3 linked regions of the Stegostoma tigrinum genome follow. The protein of the gene in region 2 interacts with the protein of the main gene of each other region in a biochemical or structural test. Links are inferred from orthologs where the notes say so. Each region holds a gene or a part of one and is shown on either strand. Other genes may lie near its edges. The genes, in order: kpnb1, kpna2 and cse1l.

Region 1 (7,386 bases), on a different chromosome or scaffold from region 2:
ATTTACTTTGTTGTCTACCACTATTCCAAAGTGGTGTACAATACTTGTCTTTTTCTAGCACTTATTCAAGCAGGATTTCGTTTTTATGTCCCATCTTCTTCTAATATCACATGCACTTTTCAAAACTTTTACTCACCTTTCTTCTTGCTATTGATTCCTAAACAGTTTCCAGTGGCTACAAAATTCCTTAAGCTGTATTACATGGTCCAGCTGATTGAATTAACCAGCTCAGTTTTAGATCTGATTTGATACAGGATACAGTGTCTGACAGCAGGTAAATCTCTAAAGCCAGGATCTGATAGGAAGCCCCTCCATATCATACCTAAGCTTAAGTCAAGCCTGTATTTTTTTTAGTTGTTAGGTTTTACTAAACGTGCAGGAAAAGGCTATGAAAATATAGCTAATTTTTCCAAAAGCTGACAGTTTTCAGAAATTCTGCAATCTACAATTTAAGGCCATACAATTAGCCAAATTAATAAGTGGTAAAACACTACATACAAAGTCAAATGTACTTCCAAAGAAATGGCTTGAAATTTGCAATTAAAATAATTAGAGATTAAAATGCAATTTACTGCTATTTCTACTGACTTCAAAGCAATTTTAAGTTTCCAAAATTACCTGATTTACACACATTAAGTAACCTTGTTTAAAGCAAAAGATGAGAAATCATTGTCAAATGTGCAAATCCACAGTAACCAAAAAAGCACCAATAACCTTAAATAGGATGCAACAGAAAATCTCTAAAGAAACAAGCTCAAAATGCACGTGGTGACCTGCTAAAATAACTTGCATTTGGATTTAAAATATATTAAGATACATCTATCAAATTTAACAATGGTGCAACCCTAGTTAACCTATAAAATTTTAACAGTGACTAGACAAGATAAATGCAGGATGTTCTTAATAACCGTGAGTCTTGAACCAATGGTCACAGCTCAAGGATATGGAACTCCCCACTCAGAACAGAGATAAGAAATTTCAGCCAGAGGATGTTTAATCTCATGGAACACACTACCACAGAAGGTTGTGGAAGCCAAGTCATTGAGTATACTTAAGACAGACAGATGCTTGATTAGTAAGGTGGTCAGAGTTACACAGAGAAGAATGATGTTGAGAAGCCTATTAGCTATGATAAAATGGCAGAGCAGACTCAATGAGCCAATGGCTGAATTCTACACCTATATTTTAGGTTCTACATTTCTTCAACCAGAATGCAGTGAACTCTGCCACAGAAAGTAGTTGAGGCCAAAATATTAAATGTTCGAGTAGTTAGATATAGCTCTTAGAGCTAAAGGGATCAAAAGCATGCAGAAAGCAGACACGGTACCAAACTGAACAATCAGCCACAATCATACTGAATGGTGAAGCAGGCTCAAAGGGCCTGTACTTGCTCTTATTATCCATGTTTCTAAAAGGTTGAGGGAAGACTTAAATTACAGTCTATTGAAATACTTTGACAGTAGAAAGGAAGGTAGTTCTATTAGGATAGATTTGAAGCAACTGTCAAAAGAATTAGAGAAAGGTTGACAAGAATTGTTCTTCCATCAAGGAGCTAAGCAGGACCTCAAACACCATCTACTACGTTATAAGCAACTGATACCCTGAATGCATCAAAAAACTCAGATTTACACCCTAAATAGTGATCTACGTAGACCGAAACTGGGATATGAGCGAGGCTGTTTTCATTTGGTTCAAACCTAGAGGGCTAAACGGCGTCCCAGCACGTCTTAATGCGTTACAAATTGATTAACTTCCACAAACACCGGTTAAATAGAAACTTTCAACTGGTGTTAACCAAATGAAAAGATTACACGATAGCAACCCAGAAGAAAGCCAGACACATGATATCAAAACCTAAATTGTGCAAATCTTCAGGCTATTATTGAAAAAGAAATAATGCTTACGACGATTTAAACGCAGGGGTATAAAGGGCATAAATTTATCAGATAGCATAATGGATCCAGGCCTCCCCAGCCCCTCCATGCGTGGGGTAGGCTGTTCTCTCTCACACATAGGGAGGAGAGGATGAGCCGGCAACATGCGCTCAGGCCTCGACTCCCAGCTTCCCTTCCCATCAACCAAACTTGCGCAGAGCGGAAACCCAGCCTCTTCGGGGCGTCCTCATTGGCTAGCGGGCATGCCCACCGGCAATCTCCGGACTCTCATTGGCTGTCATGCCTTGTCAATCAACCGGGGTAATTCCTGCCAGCAAGTTAGGCTGTCATTTTTTTTCACTCCAGTTTCCCCCTCCCCCGCCCAAAAGGTTGGGGGGGGGGTGGGGGAGAAGAAGAGTAGAAAGGGGGAATTTTCTCAATGAATGCCCTTGATTTCCCTCCATTAAAATGGATAAAAAATTTTCCATCTTAAAAATCAAATAGCCAACCATACTCTCGCATCAGCCCACGCACATTTTTTTTTAAAAAGCCGAATTAGATCAAACCATCGCCCCCTTTACCCATTCAAAAAAAATGGAAACAGAATCCAATACTGACCAAATTCTCAACAGCCGCCTGTTCCAGAAACTTCTGCGCTGCTTCCAGCTCATTACGATCTGGGGAGGAGGGAGAGAAAAGAAAGAAAAGGGCGGGCGGGAAAAAAAATAATAATACAGTTTTAAAATACCACGAAAGAGAAAAATAATATTACTCCCTCTCCCATTAGACGCCTTACCTGGAGAGACGGTTTTCTCTAAAATTGTGATAAGCTCCATGTTAACGAATCTCATGTGGGAAACAACGAGGATTTTTCTCAGGCAGAAACGGCCATAAATGGTTCTGGGTCACTCAGATTCTGCTTCCTTTTAGAAAATATAACGTACATATACACCGCGGTGAGGGAAGATTAAAAAGAGCGATAGATAGATAAACAAGGGGTGGCAGCGTGGAATTTATTATGGATAACAACAGATATGCTGTATATTAGTGACTGTTTTCTCTTTCTCACTCGCTAATAACCAGAGCGCAAGCTTCTCTCACGCCTTCGCCCGGCTCCGCAGCTGCGCAAAAGCCGAGTGCCACCGGCGGCGGAGCGATATAGCAGCGGCCGCGCGCGCTGCTCCCTTCGCAAACTGCCGCTCCCCGTGACGCGCCTCCCCATTGGCCGAATCATTCACGGCGCACGTACCGCCGCTTCCATCTGATTGGTCCGTCTGTACGTCAATCGCCGCGAGCCATTGCCAAGTGGCCGAACCCCGCCATTATCACTGCTTCACCCACGCCTTCAACAGCTGCCCGGCCTGTCTAACAGGAGCTCCCATTGGCCCGTGACCGCCCAGGCGAGCCAACGCCTAATCGGATTGGTGGGTGTCGCCAGACGCAGTACACGCGCGCGCTTGTTCCGCTTTCCCACTGGCCGCCTAGCACTATCTAACGCGGTTTCTCATTGGCCAATCGTGCTTGGATATCGAACACAATCCCCGATTGGTAATGTCTTTACACACCGGCCATCAGTCATCCTATCTAACACAATCTCTTATTGGTCCATGACGCAAGTGCCGGTAAAAGCAATCGAATGCCACTTCTGATTGGAGGATAGCGCTGAGTGCATCACATCCTTTGAACGGCCGCCGTGTGTTATTTTACGCGACCTTCCACTGGCCTATCATTCCCATCCTACTGCTTATCTAAAGAGACTCTTGATTGGTTAAGCAGAGATGCTATAGCTCTTCAACGGCCGCTGCCTGATGCTATTCAAGGCGTCCTCTGATTGGCTGAGCGGCTGTAGCCTCTGTTGAAGGCCGAATTTCGAATTGGAGCCGATGACCCCTCCCTCCCGTCCTTGAGACCGTTTTCGGGGGAGGGTTATGTCTGTACTTTTCCCACTTGACTCCGCCCAGGGCCTGCCTCCATCCTGGGACACTTGGTCCAGTTTTACTCTAAATTCCGGGGGGAGGGGGCATCGGAGCGTCTCCTCCGCCAATCAGACCGATCGCATCGGCGGGAGAGAAACCTCATTTTCAGTGGAAAAGCTTCTGCACGAAAGGAGCAACCGGCGTCCGGAGAAAGTCTTTATTTTTGTGTGCGTATGGGTTGCCTTCGGCGCCTAAATTCAAAGGGGGTGCGGTTGACGAGGTTAAAAGTTGAGGGCACTACTTTACGGTGGCGAATGGAGATGCGGCTGTTGCTGATGAGTGAGGCGGTTCTGGTTTGTATTTCCCGCCGTTTCCAGGGAAGAGAGCGCTGCCGTTTGTATTGACCATCTCCACTATCTATCCCAAAAAAACCAACTCTACTCAGCATTGTAATGCTGCTTTCTGAAACCACGAATCACTGCAAACATTTCTCTCCTCTTTGCATCCTCCGAGCTGCTTCATAAGGTGTATTTAATGCAATAGAAGGAGAAGGATATTGGGGGTGGACTCGTGTGATAGTCACCTTGATTCCTTGACTGGAACATTTCGAGGCAGATTTTACTTAAGGATCTTTCCTCATGTAAGGGGGTCGAAACTGTTCAAACTATTCTAGGTATGACTGATTCGTGCTGTATAACAGTCTTTTGTGCTGCGAATTTGTGTTTAATGCTCTCCTACAAATAGCAGAACTGTAACTGCACGCTGCCAACACTTATAAAGATCCATCCATCGTTCAATGCAAAGATGGTGGAAGCAGATCTAATAATAACTTAAATACGAATTCAATGCATACTTAAATGAAGAAAATATGCAAGGAATTAATTTAGTTGGAGAACTGTGTTTAAAGAATTGGCATTGCATAGTGAGTCAACCCTGCTTGGGAGGATTTTAAAATCAACCCAATGAGATTTGAATCACAAAAAATCCAGCTGATTTTCCCCTTACCCAGATTGGAAGAATGAAGCACCATATAAATTATTGAGTTTTTTTTCTCCCATTGTGCTCATTCACTACTTCCTATATTTGTTGCGTTGTGGTACACCATTTCAAAGACAGTGAATTGATGACATTTGGCTCCAGGTGCAGAAAGACTGTGATTATGAACATAATGGAAGGAGGCAATGGGATCCCTTTAAACAATTAGCTTCTTATATGCTCAAATGGATATTTTTCCAGAGTGCTTCGGAGATGATTACATTTGTTGATGCCATGTTGGACCTGAGAAACTTTAAAAAATGATTCATTGCAGTACCATCCATTGACATTTTTAACAACAAAAGCAGAAATTGCTGGAAAAGCTCAGCAGGTCTGGCAGCATCTGTGGCAAAAAAAAATCGGAGTTAAAGTTTTGGGTTGAGTGACCCTTCGTCAGAACTGTTTTGATTTACAGCATCTGCAGTTCTTTCAGTTTTCATTTTGATATTTTAACAACACTTATTGTTGGTAGAACAGCCCATGGTGCTTCAAAGGAGCATCATCAGACACATTTAATGCTGATTCAAAGGCAGTGCCAGACAGGTGATCAAAATCTTGGTCTGTGTGGTAGATTTTAAAACACTGGTCAGCAGAAAAGGAATTCTATAGTTTAAGATCTGCTCAACTGAATGCACATTTGACAATAACAAAAACAGAAATTTCTGGAGAAACTAAGCAGGTCTGACAGCTTTACGGAAAGAAAGCAGAGTACATTTTTCAGGTCTGGTGACTCTTGCATGCTAAAGAAGCTTCAGTGGATCCAAAACATTATCTCTTCTTTCATCCTCTACAGATGCTGCCAGACCTTCTGAAGTTCCCCAAAGTTTTTCATTTTTATTTCAGATTTTCAGCATCTGTAGTTCACTTGATTTTTGTTTGCATTGACGATAATACTGGGCCACGTGGATTGGGTTTGTAGAAAAAGCCAATGTCAAACAGCACGAGGAACAGGATCCTGGAGGGAACTTAATATAATGGTGTGAATTTGAAAATTGGGGCATTCTTGGATTAGAAGCCAATTTAAGTGCATGACTGCAGTGGGCGAGTATGACTTGCTGCAGGTTGTGATTGTTGAATATTTATGGCACAGATGGAGGTCTTTTGGCCGATCGTGTCTGCACTGGCTGCCCAACAAGCAGGGAGTAGTTTTGAATGAGCCCACAGTTATGGAGGGAGGCCAGTGTAGAGTGTGCTGAACCAGTTAATTCAGAAGAGAATGAAATGAGTTTTAACAGCAGATAAGCTGATGCATGGTGGAGGTATGGGTAGCTGGTCTTTATTGTTGATACAGTGCAAAAACTTGTGGTATAAGTGTGTGCCACATAGAACAGTTCACATCTTATCTGACTGCTGGCTTTATTGCCTTCGCCTCCTCTGTTTAGATTACAATCAACATTAGGATACGGGATAAAAGCAGAAAATATTGGAAAAGATCTAGCAGCATCTATAGAGGGGATCAGAATTAATGTGTCTAATCTGTGACCTTTCAGCTGACCTGAAATATTAATTGTTTCTGCTCTGCATGTGTTGCCAGAGCTGTTGAATATTTTCAGCAGCTTTTCTTGTTGTTTCAGATTTTTAACATCTGCAGTATGTTGCTGCTCAAAATTGGGCCTCTACAGCACCTGGGTAGAGATTTCAAAATATTCACCCTCGCCTTCTACTTGATCAAGATGTTCTACTCATCTCAATCCTGACAGCGCAGAAGCAAAGATGTTAAAATGTATTAAGATATTTTTAAAAATGGTATGCAGAAGAAGATGGTGTTAGAAGAATATGATCAAGTGAGGGCTGATCATGTTATAATCTAGTACCAAAACAGAAGCAATGAAATGATAACTGTGCAAAAGAAATAATAAACCTGGACCAGTAACACAAATACTGGCTACAAACACAAGTCATAGGTGGTGTATTTTGCAGCAATTGACTCACCTGTTCCGTACATCACATACCTGACTTGTTTTCTGTAAATGATGAAATACTCTCCGATTGTCTGGTACTCATAGTTTCTGTATCCTTAACTCTTTAATTCCAATTTATGAAATCATTTATATAGGTGCAAGTGCTTTTCATTCTTGTAGATCTTACTTCCCATAATACAATTGCCTTTTTTAGACAGGCTATCTTAAAACCTGGTATGCTAGGCCAATAAGGGCTCCATAAGAGTGTTTCAATGTTGAGTTAAGGAGGACGAATTTCAAACATTTACCACACAGAGGAAGGCCAGTTAGCTCATCATGTTTGGCAGCCAGAAGAAAGCGGTCAACTAATTTTCTAGATTTTGGTTGGTAGCCTGATAGGTACAGTACTTCAAGTGAATATTCAAATACTTTTTAAATGCAATGAGAATTTCTCCTCTCCCACCTTTCTAGGCAGAATTATCACTCTTTGGGTGGGGGAAGAAGCCACGATCATGATATATAGTGGAGCAGGCTTGAGGGTCTGAATGGCTTACTTTTCCTTTTTTTTAAAATATTCTTATGATAACTTCTCCCCTAAGGTAAATCTTTGCCCTAGTTATTAATTTCTAAAATATATAGTCTTCTTAATCTCAACTCTTC
Region 2 (7,511 bases):
CCTGCCAACCTTGCCCTTCACTGGAACATAAGCCTTGACCTCTAGCTATCACACTTTTAAAGGCCTCCCACTTGCCAGGAGTCCCTTTGTCTGCAAACTACTCAAAAGTCAATCCATGAAAGCTCCTCAAATTTTCATAGAATTAAGGCTTACCCCAATTTAGAATTTGAACCTGCTGAGCAGTTTTGCCCTTCTCCATAACCCTTAAGAGTTCTTCAAGGCATACTACCCAGAGTTTAAGCTCGATTGTTGAATCAAAACCCTGAAAAACTATCTTTCTAACACTAGGTGATTAGAGACTTCAGTCATTGAAGGCTGTACACTGCCATGTCCAAGGGTGTTAGGGGAAAGGCAGGAGGAAAGAATAAAGTGCCATATAGCCAGTGATTTCCACATTACATTAATTAGTTTTTTTTTAAAAAACGTTAATTTCTACTAGCTGTTCTACTAGGGCAACAGTCAGCCAATTTACATGCTCCATTTTGCAAAGAACGAACATTTCTATATTTAAAAAGTAGTTAGTTACCTGCAATGTTTCCTAAAGCCCATACTGCTTGTTCACTGATATGTGGATGTGGAGATGCCAACAGATTGATGAATGCTGGTATTGCACCACCATCAACAACAGCCTTAGTCTGATCAGATGTTCCAGACGCTATGTTGGTGAGGGCCCATGCAGCTTCAAACTGGATGGGGCTACAATTAAAAGTAGCAAGAAATCCCACAAATCTGGGGATGAGCCCAGCTTGAATAATTTTGTCAATGGGAGGATGTTTCTCCCTAGAAAGCAGCTTCCTGAAAAGAAAAAGCAGCTTAAAAAAGTGTACTGACAACTATTGTCTGACTTGTAATACAATGTAAACACCAACAGAATGGTTGTGAAATCAACCCTCTGGCCAGAAAGAGCACAGAAAAGACTAAAATCAGTTCTTAAAATTTTGGTCCAAAAAATCCTAGGTATTATCCCTCATTATTAACAATTGTTTAAGATAAAGAACTTTATACAATTGGACTACCTTACCAATTAGCTGGTGAAAAGTCAATTTTGTCAATTGTAGGTTGGAGAGCATCTTGCATGACCTAAAATGGTATTTGTGCAGTTCTGATACTCTATAGGAAAGATGTGGAAGTTTTGAAGGTGCAAAAAAGATTTTACCTGATACTAGATAATAAAGTGTGGAGCTGGATGAACATAGCAGGCCAAGCAGCATCTCAGGAGCACAAAAGCTGACGTTTCAGGCCTAGACCCTTCATCCTCCAGAGGGAGGAGGGTAACTACTTCAGGTTAGGCATCCCTGGAAGAGGCTTTGCAGTGAGGTTAAAATTGTATCAGTGATAATGGATTCTCCAGCATTTGCAGTTCCCAAGATAATAAAGTGTGAAGCTGGATGAACACATCAGGCCAAGCAGCACCTCAGGAGCACAAAAGCTGACGATTCTCCAGCATCTGCAGTTCCCATTATCACTTTTACCTGATGCTGGCTGGATCGGAATACATTAGCTTTAGCAAGGGATTAGACAAAAGATTTTTCACAAGAGCACAGGCTGAGGTGCAACCTGAGCAGTATATAAACAAGGCATAAGATAGGGTGCAAAGTTGGAGTCTGGAACTAGAGTCAGTGTTACAAAAGATAGAAATGGGCAAAACGAAGCCTCAAGTTTTAGTGAAACCCAAACATATGCAGGAATCAGATCAGGGCTCAGTTATTACATGAAGGAGGTAGTGCTAGACAGCCTCATTTTGACCGAACACTGGCCACGTGAACCAAAAATAGACTCCAAAATCACTAGTGAAATATCATTCCCTCCAAAATTGGCAAATCCATTTTTTAAAACTCCAACAGCCAGTTTGAAAAAAATTAGTATAGCACTATTACACAAAAAACCCACTCAAATATAGTCCTGAAGTGACAAGATACAAGTATTTTTACTCCCAGTATCGCGATTGCAGACAGACATGGACTGGTTCCTTTAAACATATCCCAGTGTCCCATAACTGGTGCTTGAATTCTCTGCATTACTTTCAAAAGACTCAAGGTATTTTACATTTAAAATTTCTAACTACAATGGGAGACACCCATTCTTACCTGGCAGCCTGAGTTGCTTGGAGTTGAGTTTCCAAATTATTACTCTGGATACCTTGGATTATTTCATCCAAATTCAAAGGCACCTGATTTTCATGAAAACAGCAAAGTTTTTAGTAGCCAAAAAGCAAGTCATGAATTTTAAAACAGGATTCCTTCGAGAATACAGTACCTGGATATTGTTCTTTTCTTGAAGTGGAGATACATTCTCATCAGGAAAATTGTTCACGTTCCTCCTTTTAAACAGCTGGTCGTCTTTTTTAGCTTTCCGCAGCTCAACATTGGTTTCAATTCTCCTGCGTCTCAACTCCTTTTAAAAAGGAGTGGAGAGGGAAAATGGAACCAAAATTAGGCCATGTATTGATGGCGATGATAAAAGTTACGAAAAAGCTTAAAATAATACCATCTTACATTAGCATCTTTCCCCTTGTTCTTAAACTTGATCAGGCGGCTGAAGGCGTTCTCGTTGGCCGTGGTTGACATATTTCAACTTGAATTAACTTGGCAAAAACTGTACGAAACAAAGTAGACAAGAGTTAGTCACAGAAAGCGTGCTTCGACAGGCGGGGAAGATTTTTAGACACTTTGGAAAGATGCTACAACGTAGAAAAATTAACAATTTTGTTCTTTTTAAAAAAATTACACTGCATCCAGATTAAAAAGTTAGCAACAATTACGTTTCAGCATTTAGATTAATTGCCTGTTTAGACAAAAGTCATTTACAGCGAAAGATGAACAAGTCTTACATACTTGCGGAAGCTGAGACAAAGATTTAAAGGGGAGATTTTCCGTTAAGGTTACTGGAATTTAATTAGTCGTGAAAAGGAAAAAAAACTTATCGCTATTAAACGAGAACAGCAGTTGAACTAATCACAAGATTTACAAAGTGCACTTAACTGCAATATTAAAGCAAGCCGTTTACAACTTATAACCTTCCGCTAGTAAAACACTATTACCAACAGAAATGCAAGCTTGGAAGCCGCTCCAGCTATTTAAACCGGCTGAGTTGCCCGGCTCCCATTGGTTCATTCGATTCAAAGCAATATTTCAATTGGCTGATTTGAAAGAAGCTGAGGATGCGGTTGGATGGATTCCCATACCAACCGCGCAGCCAATCAAGTAAAGGATATTAAAAATACTACTCCGTGCATAGCGCCGTCTCTGGCGCGGTCTTTTGTTGTTTTGCGCGTTAAAGGAGCTCGAAACATTACTTCCTCTTTACTCTTTTGTTCTTCCACGTGGTATTAAAAATACTGCTGATTTAGGAATAAAAATTGCTGGAAACACTCACTAAAGTCACGTCTTTGTCTCTTTTGCAACGTCTTCGGAAAACCTCTCAAGTTATGTGTGGTTGACCGCTCAGTAATTCATACAGGATAACATAGTTTTATGTCCTGTGCCTTCGAACTTTTACGGCAAAGGAGTCTGTGCTTGGTCCTTCCCCATTCCCCCACTACCAGTGGCAACCTCACACTGAGTGATTCTCCTTGAAGTTGATTTTCATATCTTGGTCCTACTATTAACCACAACCCCACCAAAACTTCCTGAGAGACCAGTTCCTGGCAAAACATTTAAAGAATAGTTTGGCACAGGGTCAACGTGTAATAACTCTGGGGGCATGAGGTGGGGCTGTGGCACTTGTTGCCATACATATGAGAGATGTGGAAATATATCACTAACAATACCCTGTTTTTCTCATTCAGTGCAAGGAACAATGGCCTCAAGTGTAGCTCATTGTCATACTGCTACACACCAGTGTAGGACAGTCCATAACAGTTATTGAGTCATAGAGTCAAACAGCACAGAAACAGACCTTTCAGTCCAACTCACCCACGCATACCGCATTTCCCAAACTAAGCTAGTCCTACTTGCCTGCATTTGGCCCATGTCCCTCTAACCCTTTCCTATTCACGTACCTGTCCAAATGTCTTTTAAATGTTGTAACTATACCTGCAACAACCACTTCCTCTGGTAGTTCATTCCACATACAAAACGCCCTCTGTATGAAAAAGTTGCCTCTCAGGTTCCTTTTAAATCTTTCTCCTCTCACCTTAAAATTTCCTCCCAGTTTTGAACTCCACCACCCCAGGGAAAAGACCTTTGCTATTCACCTCATCTATCCTGGCAAATCTTTTCTCAACCATCTCCAATTTAACAATATTCTTCCTATAGAAGGAAGTCCAGTACTGTAGACAGTCCTCCAAAAACATGCCTTAGCATCTTAATATAATTCCTGTACACTTGTGACTGCGTGGCCAAATTTCATCCTAACTCCATCAACAAGTTTGCTGACAACACCACCACTATAGGTTGGATCTCAAACAATGACAAGACAGAATACAGGAAAGAGACACAGTGCTTGGTAGCATGGTGTGAAGATAACAATCTTTCCCTTCACATTAGAAAAATGAAAGAGCTGGTCATTGATTTCAGGAAACAAGGTGGAGGACACTCCCCTATCTACATTAATCGTGCTGAGTTAGGGATAGCCAAGAGTGAAGTTCCGAGGCGTGGCAATCACCAACAATCCATGTTGATACAACAGTCAAGAAAGCACAACAATGCCTCTTCTTCCTCAGGATGCTATGGAAACTTGGCATGTCTATAAAGGCTCTTGCCAATTTTTAAAGATGAAACATAGAAAGCATTCTATCTGGATGCATCATGGCTTGGTATGGCAACTGCTCTGCCCAGAACTAGAAGAAACTACAGAGAGTTGTGACACAGCTCAGAACATCGTGCAAGCCAACCTTCCATCCATTGACTCTATCTATACTTCACACTGTTTCGGGAGGGCAGCCAACATAATCAAAGCCCACCCCAGTTATACTCTTTTCCAACCTCTTCTATCAGGCAGAAGGTACAAAAGCTTAAACATATGAACCAACAGATTCAAGAACAGCTTCTTCCCCACTATTAACATAGTGTGAAGCTGGAAGAACACAGCAGGCAAAGCAGCATCAGAGGAGTAGGAAAGCTAACATTTCGGGTCAGGAGCTTTCTTCAGAAATCTTCAGGTTTTTCCAGCTCCATACTATGTTATCTCAGACTCAAGCATCAGCAGTTCTTACTATGTCTTCTTCGCCACTGTTGTTAAATTTCTGAATGGATCTCTCAAATTTTAAATTTAATGTTAATCGTGTTCTTTGTGTATCTTCTCTGAGCATAACATTGTATTCCTTGTTCTGTTCTATTACCCTTATACACTTTGTATGATATGATCTGCCTGTACTACACACAAAACAAAACTTTTCACTGCACCAAGGTACATGTGACAATAATAAATCAAATCAAATCACCAAAACCCTGTACAACCTCAGCATGATATACTCAGTGGTCTGAACAATGAATGCAAGCATTCTAAACACCTTTTTAACCATCATTTCTACATGTGATGCAAATTTCAAAGAACTTTAATCCTTAGATCCCTAAGTCTCTCTGTTCGAAAACACTACTCCGGGCCATATCATTAACTGTATAAGTGCTGCCTGTGTATAAGTGCTGCCTGTGTTTGTTTTATCAAAATGCAATAATATTTATTCAAATTTTACTCCATCTGCCACTGCTCAAGCCATTGGCCCAATTGATCAAGAACCTTTGTATTCTTAGATAATCTTCTTCACTACCAACTTTGGTGTCATCCACAAACTTACTAAATATGCCTCCTAAATTCTCATCCAAATAGTTTATATAAATGACAAACAATTGATTTTAGATCTAGATTTAGGTTTTATTGTCATGTGTACTCAAGTACATGGCACAAGAGCACAGTGAAAAGTGTACAACGTCACCACATATGGTGCCATCTTATGTACAAAGTACTTAGGTACAAAATTTTAGTTACAGAAATAGAAATATAAAGTAATAAGTTTAAAAAGTTCAGCACTACAGTGCACTTAGCATAAATGTTGAAAAATAGAAAAATAAAGTTAAAATGTCAAGCATTACAGTCTTAAGCTATGGGCCTACAGATGCTTAAAGCTGGGCTTTCCCCAAGACACATCACTCTCCCTAGCGCTGGGAATGCTTACGCTGTGCTGGGCCAAGACCTGCCCAGGCACATCAGGCTTCATCAGCACTCACAAGGCTTTGGCCGCAACCACCACATCACTGCTGCCACCATCCTTTGCCGCTAGCTGCCAATTGTTGTCTCACTGTCACATTGGGGCCCAGCCACTGGCATGTTCTTTTGCTGCCGCTGCCTCCACAGCATCCAAAAGGTAATTAAGAAACTACTTAAAAAAAGAGAAAAGAAGATAAAAACAGAAAAAGGAAAGCTGGCAGAATGGATGAGATCTGGGCACAAAATCCCAGACAGTGCTTATCCACTGCTGCCATCTTGAATAGTTTTGATCAGAACCATTCCTAATCTTGAACGGAACTATCAGCATGGTGGCCTCACAGTACCAGGGACCTGGGTTCAATTCCAGCCTTGGGTGACTGTCCATGCGGGGTTTGCACATTTTCCCTGTGTTTGTGTGGGTTTCCTCCCACAGTCCAAAGATGTGCAGGTTAGGTGGATTGGCAATGCTAAATAGCCCATGATGTCTGGGGAAGGAAATTTCGTGATAGGGTACGGGCTCGGTCTAGGTGGGATGCTCTTCAGAGGATTAGTGTGGACTTTATGGACTGAATGGCCTGCTTCTACACTGTAGGGAATCTATGATCTCAGATCTTGAACAGAACGATCTATCCTAGTCCAAATGCATGTAAATCCTATCTCTCAGAATCCCCTCCAAAAACTTGCCCACCACTGATATCTGACTTACCAATCTATAGTTCCCAGGCTTCTCCTTACAGCCTTTCTGAAATAAAGGCACAACATTAGCCACCATCTCGTCCTCTGGCATCTTATCCTTGGCTGCAGATGATATAAATATCTATACTAGGGGCCCTGTAATTTCTTCCCTAACTTCCCAAAATGTCCTGAGATATACTTCATCAGGCCTGGAGATTTATCCATCTTTGTGTTTTTTTTAAGACCCCCAGCACCTCCTCTTCCACAATATGGATTGTTTTCAAGACATCAAAATTTATTTCCCAAGCCTCCATGTCTTTCTCCACAGTAAAAACTGACACATTTATTATCTCTCCCATCTCCTGTGGTTCAACACATAGATGACCTCAATGATTTTTAAGGGACCCTATTCTCTCAGTAGCTGCTCTTTTGCTCTTAATGTACTTGTAGAATCTCTTTGGATTAACCTTAATCTTATCTGCCAAAGTTATCTCATGTTATCTCATCTCTCTTTTTGCCCTCCAGATTTCTCTCTCAAGAATGCCCCAACACCCCTTATATTCTTCAAGAGATTCTAGATCCCAGTTGTCTATACCCAATATATGATTTCCTCTTATTCTTGACCAAAGCCTTGATATCTTTATTCATCCATTGTTACCAGCCTTACCCTTCAATCTAACAAGAACATA
Region 3 (7,136 bases), on a different chromosome or scaffold from region 2:
AAGTTCTGGTAATGTTTTTCAAAACCAAAAGATTTTAGACAGTTATGTCAAGTCCTCAGGTATGCTACAGATAAAGATTAAAGAAAAACACTTCCATCCTTCATAATTAAAGCACTACTTCACCATTGGACATCTGTTAACTCTTTCCTTTTGTATGCGTTTAGATGCCCTATTTACTGCATGTTCTCTCATATATCCAATCACCTCTTCTGAATAAAAACCAAAAGAATTGTGCATGCTGTAAAATCAGAAACAAAAGCACAAGTTGCTGGAAAAGCTCAGGTGGTCTGGCAGCATCTGTGAACAGAAGTCAGAGTTAACATTTTGGGTCCGTTGGCCCACTGAACAAGAACTTTTCGAGCAACTTCTGTCTTTATTGCAGTTCTTCTAAATTCTCAATTTGCTTTTCTTCAGCATTTTCCTGTAATCCTTATGACTGGCCTCAATTCTGCCATATGCCACCATCTGAAGATTCAGTTTATTGTTGATGTGGCAATTGAACCATGAAACGTAATATTTTGTGGGTCAATAAAAACCAATACCTGAATTTTCCACAACAGTTCATAACTTGTAAGGCTGCCTTAGAAGCAAACCATGACATAAGAATGCTCATAAAGGAAACTTCAAACTTTGTGGTGAAAATGCACGATCAGCTCACAAGCTTACTGAGAGGGGTTATGGAAATACAATTAACATGCAATAAGTAACAGCACCAAAAATCGGCAGCAAATCTCAGACAAAATACTAACATCATTATTTGGGTACTAACAGACTTGCTGCAGGTTTATTATGGAAATATTCTAAATTACTATCTTTTAACAACAAAGACAAGCTGATGAAAAGGAATAGAAATAACAGTCAAGGTAACTTCATCAGTAGATAAAATATAAGATTATGTATATTAATTGAGCTCTTTTACTAAGTTTAAATAATGTATAAATTCAGTAAGACATAACCAAGTAAACAGAAAGATTGTTTACAAACTGACACAAAGATAAATTTGAGACTACATTAAATAGGGCTTCCAACAGAAATATATTAAAATAGCAGGGACTGTGACAACTATGCATTACATAAACTCAAAGTAACATTGTTATGCAGCGTCTCAGTTCTGTTTCTTTGCTGACAGGTATGCATCACACAAGGTGATCAACTATCTCAGAATTTACAGGACCATCCCATATTTCAGGCAGTTCAACACTTCAACTTAATGGCTCCTAGGACACATCTCGTCTCTTATTTTCCTCAACTACCTCTTACCTGTAGTACTGTATTCTGCTCCTGGCAGCCCACTCAACCACTGTCAACATCTACCCTTGCCCCAATGCCACTATATGACTATTTCTGCATCATTAAATAGCACACAGAAGCAGCACCACACACCTTCAGCTTGAACACCAATGACAAGATTAAGTTACACAAGTCAAACAGACTAATGAATGTTAGCACACGTGCATCTCACTACATCGTATTACAAGACATAGGTGTTGCTGATGTATTAGCCTTCAAAAAGTAAGAGGGGAATATTTCAGAAACACTGCCAAAGGCCATTGAATTCACCACTATACTACTGATAAGATTTTGACAAAAATTAAGAAAATCTGACATCTGTTTTGCTTTGCCAAATCCCACAATTAACACAATAATATCAATGATGTGCCTCTGGATGCTCATACATAACAGCCTATGAAGGAATCATGAGTTGGGGAGTTATCCTGAAGGTCTTGATCCACATTTATCTTTCAATCAACAATACAAGATTATTTGCTCATTGTCTGATACAGCGTTGACTCTGGACAATCGAGATGTCGTACATTACGACAGTGATTACATTTCAATGTACTCATTGATTATAAATGCCTGAAACATCTAGTGACCGCGAAAAGAACCATAGAAAAATATAGTTTCCTTTATTTATAATAGCACGAACTACACAGATGCGTCAAATGCAACTGAACCTCACAACAGCCAAGACGCTTCAGTACTGCAAGTGGAAACGAAGTGCAAGCCCCGTATAACAAGTTTACACTTACTCTGTCGTTTATGAACGAGAGCACAGATGCAGAATAAAACAAAAAAACACCAACAGGCTCTATCTTTCTCAGATCGAAGTGCATCAGAGAGAACGTCGCTCGGGCAGGGAGGATAAAGTTTCGTGAAGGCCTCAACAAGAATTAAACTCGACTTCAGTATGGACTAGTGTCAAATCTACTGATCAGCTTCAACTTCAGAACAGCTTATCTTATTTCTAAAAATATTGATTGGCTGGCACTCTCGATTGGGCTGTCTGAAATCGCTTACACTTAGCAAACAGAATACTAGATTTTGTAATATACATTTTTGACCCACCGCGTGCTTCATAATAAGAAACTTGAAAGGGCAGCTTGTATAGCCATATACGTAGCGCGCTAAGCTAAGCAGCGAGGGCAACAAAACATTTCCCATCGGAAAGCAGCGCAGCTTCAAGACCCAGCGCAAGGCCTGGTACAAATACGGCCACAACCGAACATGTTGCACGTAGACCAGTGATTGACAGCTGGGCCAAACAATCACGAAGCCAAACTGCAGATATTTGCCCGCCCCATCACCAATCAAGGTTGACCAGGAGAGGGAGCAGCATGTTCGGTTGAAGTATAGGTTCACGTTGGGCCGAGGGTTGGGCCCGACTGAAAACTGCCTTCCTTCCCGATCCATTCGAACAAAAGCGAACTGGTAGCCAGGCCGCCCACTTTCGACGCCTCGTAAACGGCAGTGTACCGACTTCTGGACAGTCGCTTTGTGGAAGTCGCTGCATCGACAACATCCGCCGGGATCATGAGCCCCTTTTTGAGACTGAAAAAAATGGGCCTAGCTCTTCAAAACAGAAGACAGGCGACTCAGGATCGGTCCGTGGAGATCGCAGGGAGCGGACAAAGATCTAAAAGGCCCAGTTTCTCTTACCTTCTTTATCTTAAGTCGAAATGATTTCAGACCCGAAAATCTGCTCCCCGTTCAGGGCTCGTTCAAACACAAGGAAAATGGCGCGCTGCCTAACGCAGGCATGCGCACTACGATCGGCCCCCAACACATCGCTCTTGCGCATGCGCACTGTCCGCCCCCTTCGCAACAGCTGCGTGCCGGCGGCCTCTCGGCCCTACGGTCCCGTACGGGATATGGCTACGTCTGCAGGTATTGTCCATTCCTCATTCCTCTGAAAAAGAAGGCACAGCAATCTTTACGCTGTTGTGGAGAAACGAGATCCGGTTCCGGGATTTTGACCTGGCCATGTTGAAGAAACGTCGATAGACATCACAAGCCCCTCCCCCTACTACATCCCAAAACCAGCCCATCTTGTCCCCGCCTCCCTAATCTGTCCTTCCTCTTACCTATCCCCTCATCCCACCTCAAGCCCCACCCCTATCTCCTACCTACAAGCCTCATCCCGCCCCCTTGACCTATCCCCTCCCTACCTACACTCGCCTTTACTGACTCCATGGACCGTAGGAACTGCAGGTGCTGGAGAATCTGAGATAACACGGTGTGAATCTGGATGAACACAACAGGCCAAGCAACATCAGAGGAGCAGTAAAGCTTGACGTTTCGAAATCCCCACCTCTTTGATCTGTCTGTCTCCTCTCCACCTATCTTCTCCTCTATCTATCTTCTATCCGCCTCCGCCTCTCGCTATTTATTTCAGAACAGCGTTTTACTGTCCCATTTCTGAAGAACGGTCTAGCCTCGAAACGTCAGCTTTCCTGCTGTTATGATGCTCCTTTGCCTGCTGTGTTCATCCAGCTTTACACCTTGTTGTTTCCAAGTCAGTAAGATGTGCGAGGTAACAAAGTGTGAAGCTGGATGAACACAGCAGGCCAAGCAGCATCTCAGGAGCACAAAAGCTGACGTTTCGGGCCTAGACCCTTCATCGGAGAGGGAGCTGGAATAAATAGGGAGAGAGGGGGAGGCGGACTGAAGATGGATAGAAAAGAAGATAGGTGGAGAGGAGAGCATAGGTGGGGAGGTAGGGAGGGGATAGGTCAGTCCAGGGAGGACGGACAGGTCAAGGAGGCGGGATGAGGTTAGTAGGTAGCAAATGGAGGTGTGGCTTGAGGTGGGAGGAAGGGATGGGTGAGAGGAAGATCAGATTAGGGAGGCAGGGACAAGCTGGGCTGGTTTTGGGTTGCAGTGGGGGAAGGGGAGATTTTGAAGCTTGTGAAGTCCACATTGATATCATTGGGCTGCAGGGTTCCCAAGTGGAATATGAGTTGCTGTTCCTGCAACCTTTGGGTGGCATCATTGTGGCATCATGCAGAAGGCCCATGATGGGCATGTCGTCTAAGGAATGGGAGGGGGATTTAAAATGGTTCGTGACTGGGAGGTGCAGTTGTTTATTGCACCTCCGCTCAGTTCGCAACAAACAACTGCACCTCCTAGTCGTGAACCATTTTAACTCACCCTCCCATTCCTTAGATGACATGTCCATCATGGGCCTCCTGCAGTGCCACAATGATGCCATCCAAAAGTTGCAGGTACAGCAACTCATATTCCGCTTGGGAGCCCTGCTGCCAATGGTATCAATGTAGACTTCAGAAGCTTCAAAATCTCCACTTCCCCCACTGCATCCCAAAACCAGCCCAGCTCGTCCCCTCCCCCTACTGCATCCCAAAACCAGCCCAGCTTGACTCTGCCTCCCTAACCTGTTCTTCCTCTCACCCATCCCCTCCTCCAACCGCAAGTCGCACCTCCATTTCCTACCTACTAACCTCATCCCGCCCCCTTGCCCTGTCCGTCCTCCCTGGACTGACCTATCCCCTCCCCACCTATACTCTCCTCTCCACCTATCTTCTTTTCTCTCCATCTTCGCTCCGCCTCCCCTTCTCTCCCTATTTATTCCAGCTCCCTCTCCGATGAAGGGTCTAGGCCCGAAACGTCAGCTTTTGTGCTCCTAAGATGCTGCTTGGCCTGCTGTGTTCATCCAGCTTCACACTTTGTTATCTTGGATTCTCCAGCATCTGCAGTTCCCATTATCTCAGTAAGATGTGCGGTCTGGAGGAGAACTTATATGTGATGGAGTTCCCATAAATCTGTTGCCCTTTTCTAAGGAGTAGAGTCCTCATGTTTGGAAGGCACTTTTGAGGGAGCTTTGAAGAGTAATTGCAGTGCAACTTGTAGATGGTGTACACTGGACATTGGTGGTAAAATTGTGAATGGTATAGGTGATGAATGAGTCGCCAAGGGTTTGGACTGTATTCTTGAATGATGTTGAGTCACTTGAGTGTTGTTGAAACTGCATCTATCCAGGCAAATTGAGAACAGACCTTCATGCTCTTGGCTTTTAACCTTGAAGATAGTGCTGGCATTGGGTAGAGAGGTGGTGAGTTACAGACTGGAATTCCAAATCTCTCTCTTGATCTAGTAGCCATAGTATTTAGACATTTCATTCACTTTGTTCTGCTGCCACAAATAACCCAAGATGTTGGCAGCATGGAAAATCAGCCATAGCAGGGGAGATAGTTTGATTCTGTCTTGTTTAAGATGGTCATTACCTAATGTGTGTGGCACAAAAATCATTTGCTCCTTAACAAACTTAGACTGATGTTGTTAAGGCCTTACTGCATGACGACTGAAGGCAGCACAGTGACTCAGTGGTTAGCACTGTTGCCTCATGGTGCCAGAGACCTGAGTTCAATTCCAACCTTGGGCAACTGTCTATGTGGAGTTTGGCCATTGTCTCCAGTCTGCATGGGTTTCCTCTGAATGCTATGATTTACTCCCACAGTCTAAAGATGTGCAGGTTAGGTGGATTGGCCGTAGGAAATATAGGGTAGCGGGGTGGGTTTGGACAGGATGTTCTTCAGAGAGTTGGTGTGGACTTGATGGGCCGAATGGCCTGCTTCCACAGTGTGGGGATTCTGTGATTGAAATCTGTCAGGAATTTTCCCGTCAATATTACTACCTAAGACAAGGATACCTGAGATAGTAAGAACCGCAGATGCTGGAGTCAGAGATAACACAGTGTGGAGCTGGAGGAACATAGCAGCCCAGGCAGCATCAGCGGAGCAGGAAAGTTGATGTTTTAGGTCAACATCCTTCTTTCTGAGTTGCACTTACTGCTATTCTTGAATTAAAATATTACATTCTTCCAAATTGGCAAGTATCTTAGTACATCGGCTAACTCACACCAAGTCTCATTCAGCTTCTGGTCTTGTCCCATCTCATTTTAAAAGTTCTCAATTCCTTTGTCAGATATTTTCATGGTCTTACCCTTCCTAAGCTCTGTAACTTTCTTCCAACCTTCAGCCTCTGAGATCTGTCTTTCAGATTTGGCATTTTACAAACATCAGTGTTCATGCCTTCAGCAGTTTGAGCCTCAAACTCCAGCATTCCTACAAGTCACTTTATAAACAAGTTTAAAGAGCTTGGGGTTATCTAGACTGAACATTTTTGGAGATCATTCACCTGTCTTTAAGAGAATAAATGCAGTTGTTGAATTCATATTGTAGTGACAACACTTTGCACTGCTGCAGCATAACATTTCCACAACTGCTTCAGTGGAAAAGAAAGAAAATACTGAAGCTGCTGTAAATCTAAAACAAGCACTGAGAATGCTAGAGAAGTTCAACAGGTCTGCCAGTATCTGTGGGGGGTGAAAGAGAGCTAACTTTTCAATTTTGGTTACTTGTTCAGAAATTGGTAGTTCTGTTTTTCTGTCTCTGCAGATGCTGTCAGACCTTCTGAATCTTTTAAGCATTCACTCTGCTAGTTTATCTCGTTTATTTTGTTAAATTGATCAGTAATGTGATTATTTATCTTTCTGTAATGATTACTATGTCTCATTAAATATGTAATTGCAAATGGAAAACTGTTTAAGACTTGTATAAATTGACATCATTTTCAGCATTGCCTTCCCATCAGTTTTGACTTAGTAAACATGATGAAATCTTGCCTTATTAAACATGATGAAATTTTGTACAGAAATGGCCTTCCAGTGTGAAGATTTTGGCACTATCTCACTGTTGGCTACTCTGGTAATATTGAAACATTACAATCTGAGGATATTGCAAGTTCCAAGTGACATTACTGCCACAACTATTCTGGAAAAGCAGGATATCAGTCTTTACGAGAGATTTGATGGAAAATAAGTAATTAAATGTATGAAT

Evidence for each region.
Region 1: the proteins of kpna2 (region 2) and kpnb1 form a complex in vitro, tested with the Homo sapiens proteins (6 studies listed by BioGRID and IntAct, with this or other methods). The link is inferred for Stegostoma tigrinum from reciprocal best matches to the Homo sapiens genes KPNA2 and KPNB1.
Region 3: the proteins of kpna2 (region 2) and cse1l form a complex in vitro, tested with the Homo sapiens proteins (2 studies listed by BioGRID). The link is inferred for Stegostoma tigrinum from reciprocal best matches to the Homo sapiens genes KPNA2 and CSE1L.

The regions. Positions count from the first base shown.
Region 1 is NC_081384.1:5,015,208-5,022,593, forward strand, and holds the start of kpnb1 (importin subunit beta-1), read right to left. Parts: upstream 3,025-7,386; 5' UTR 2,726-3,024; coding exon 2,671-2,725; intron 2,552-2,670; coding exon 2,493-2,551; intron 1-2,492.
Region 2 is NC_081375.1:10,522,610-10,530,120, reverse strand, and holds the start of kpna2 (importin subunit alpha-1), read right to left. Parts: upstream 3,073-7,511; 5' UTR 2,982-3,072; intron 2,976-2,981; exon of another isoform or gene 2,835-2,975; intron 2,596-2,834; 5' UTR 2,568-2,595; coding exon 2,496-2,567; intron 2,395-2,495; coding exon 2,257-2,394; intron 2,171-2,256; coding exon 2,088-2,170; intron 796-2,087; coding exon 527-795; intron 1-526.
Region 3 is NC_081372.1:32,684,644-32,691,779, forward strand, and holds the start of cse1l (exportin-2), read right to left. Parts: upstream 3,076-7,136; 5' UTR 2,941-3,075; intron 2,481-2,940; exon of another isoform or gene 2,350-2,480; intron 1-2,349. UniProt on the Homo sapiens protein: Export receptor for importin-alpha. Mediates importin-alpha re-export from the nucleus to the cytoplasm after import substrates (cargos) have been released into the nucleoplasm.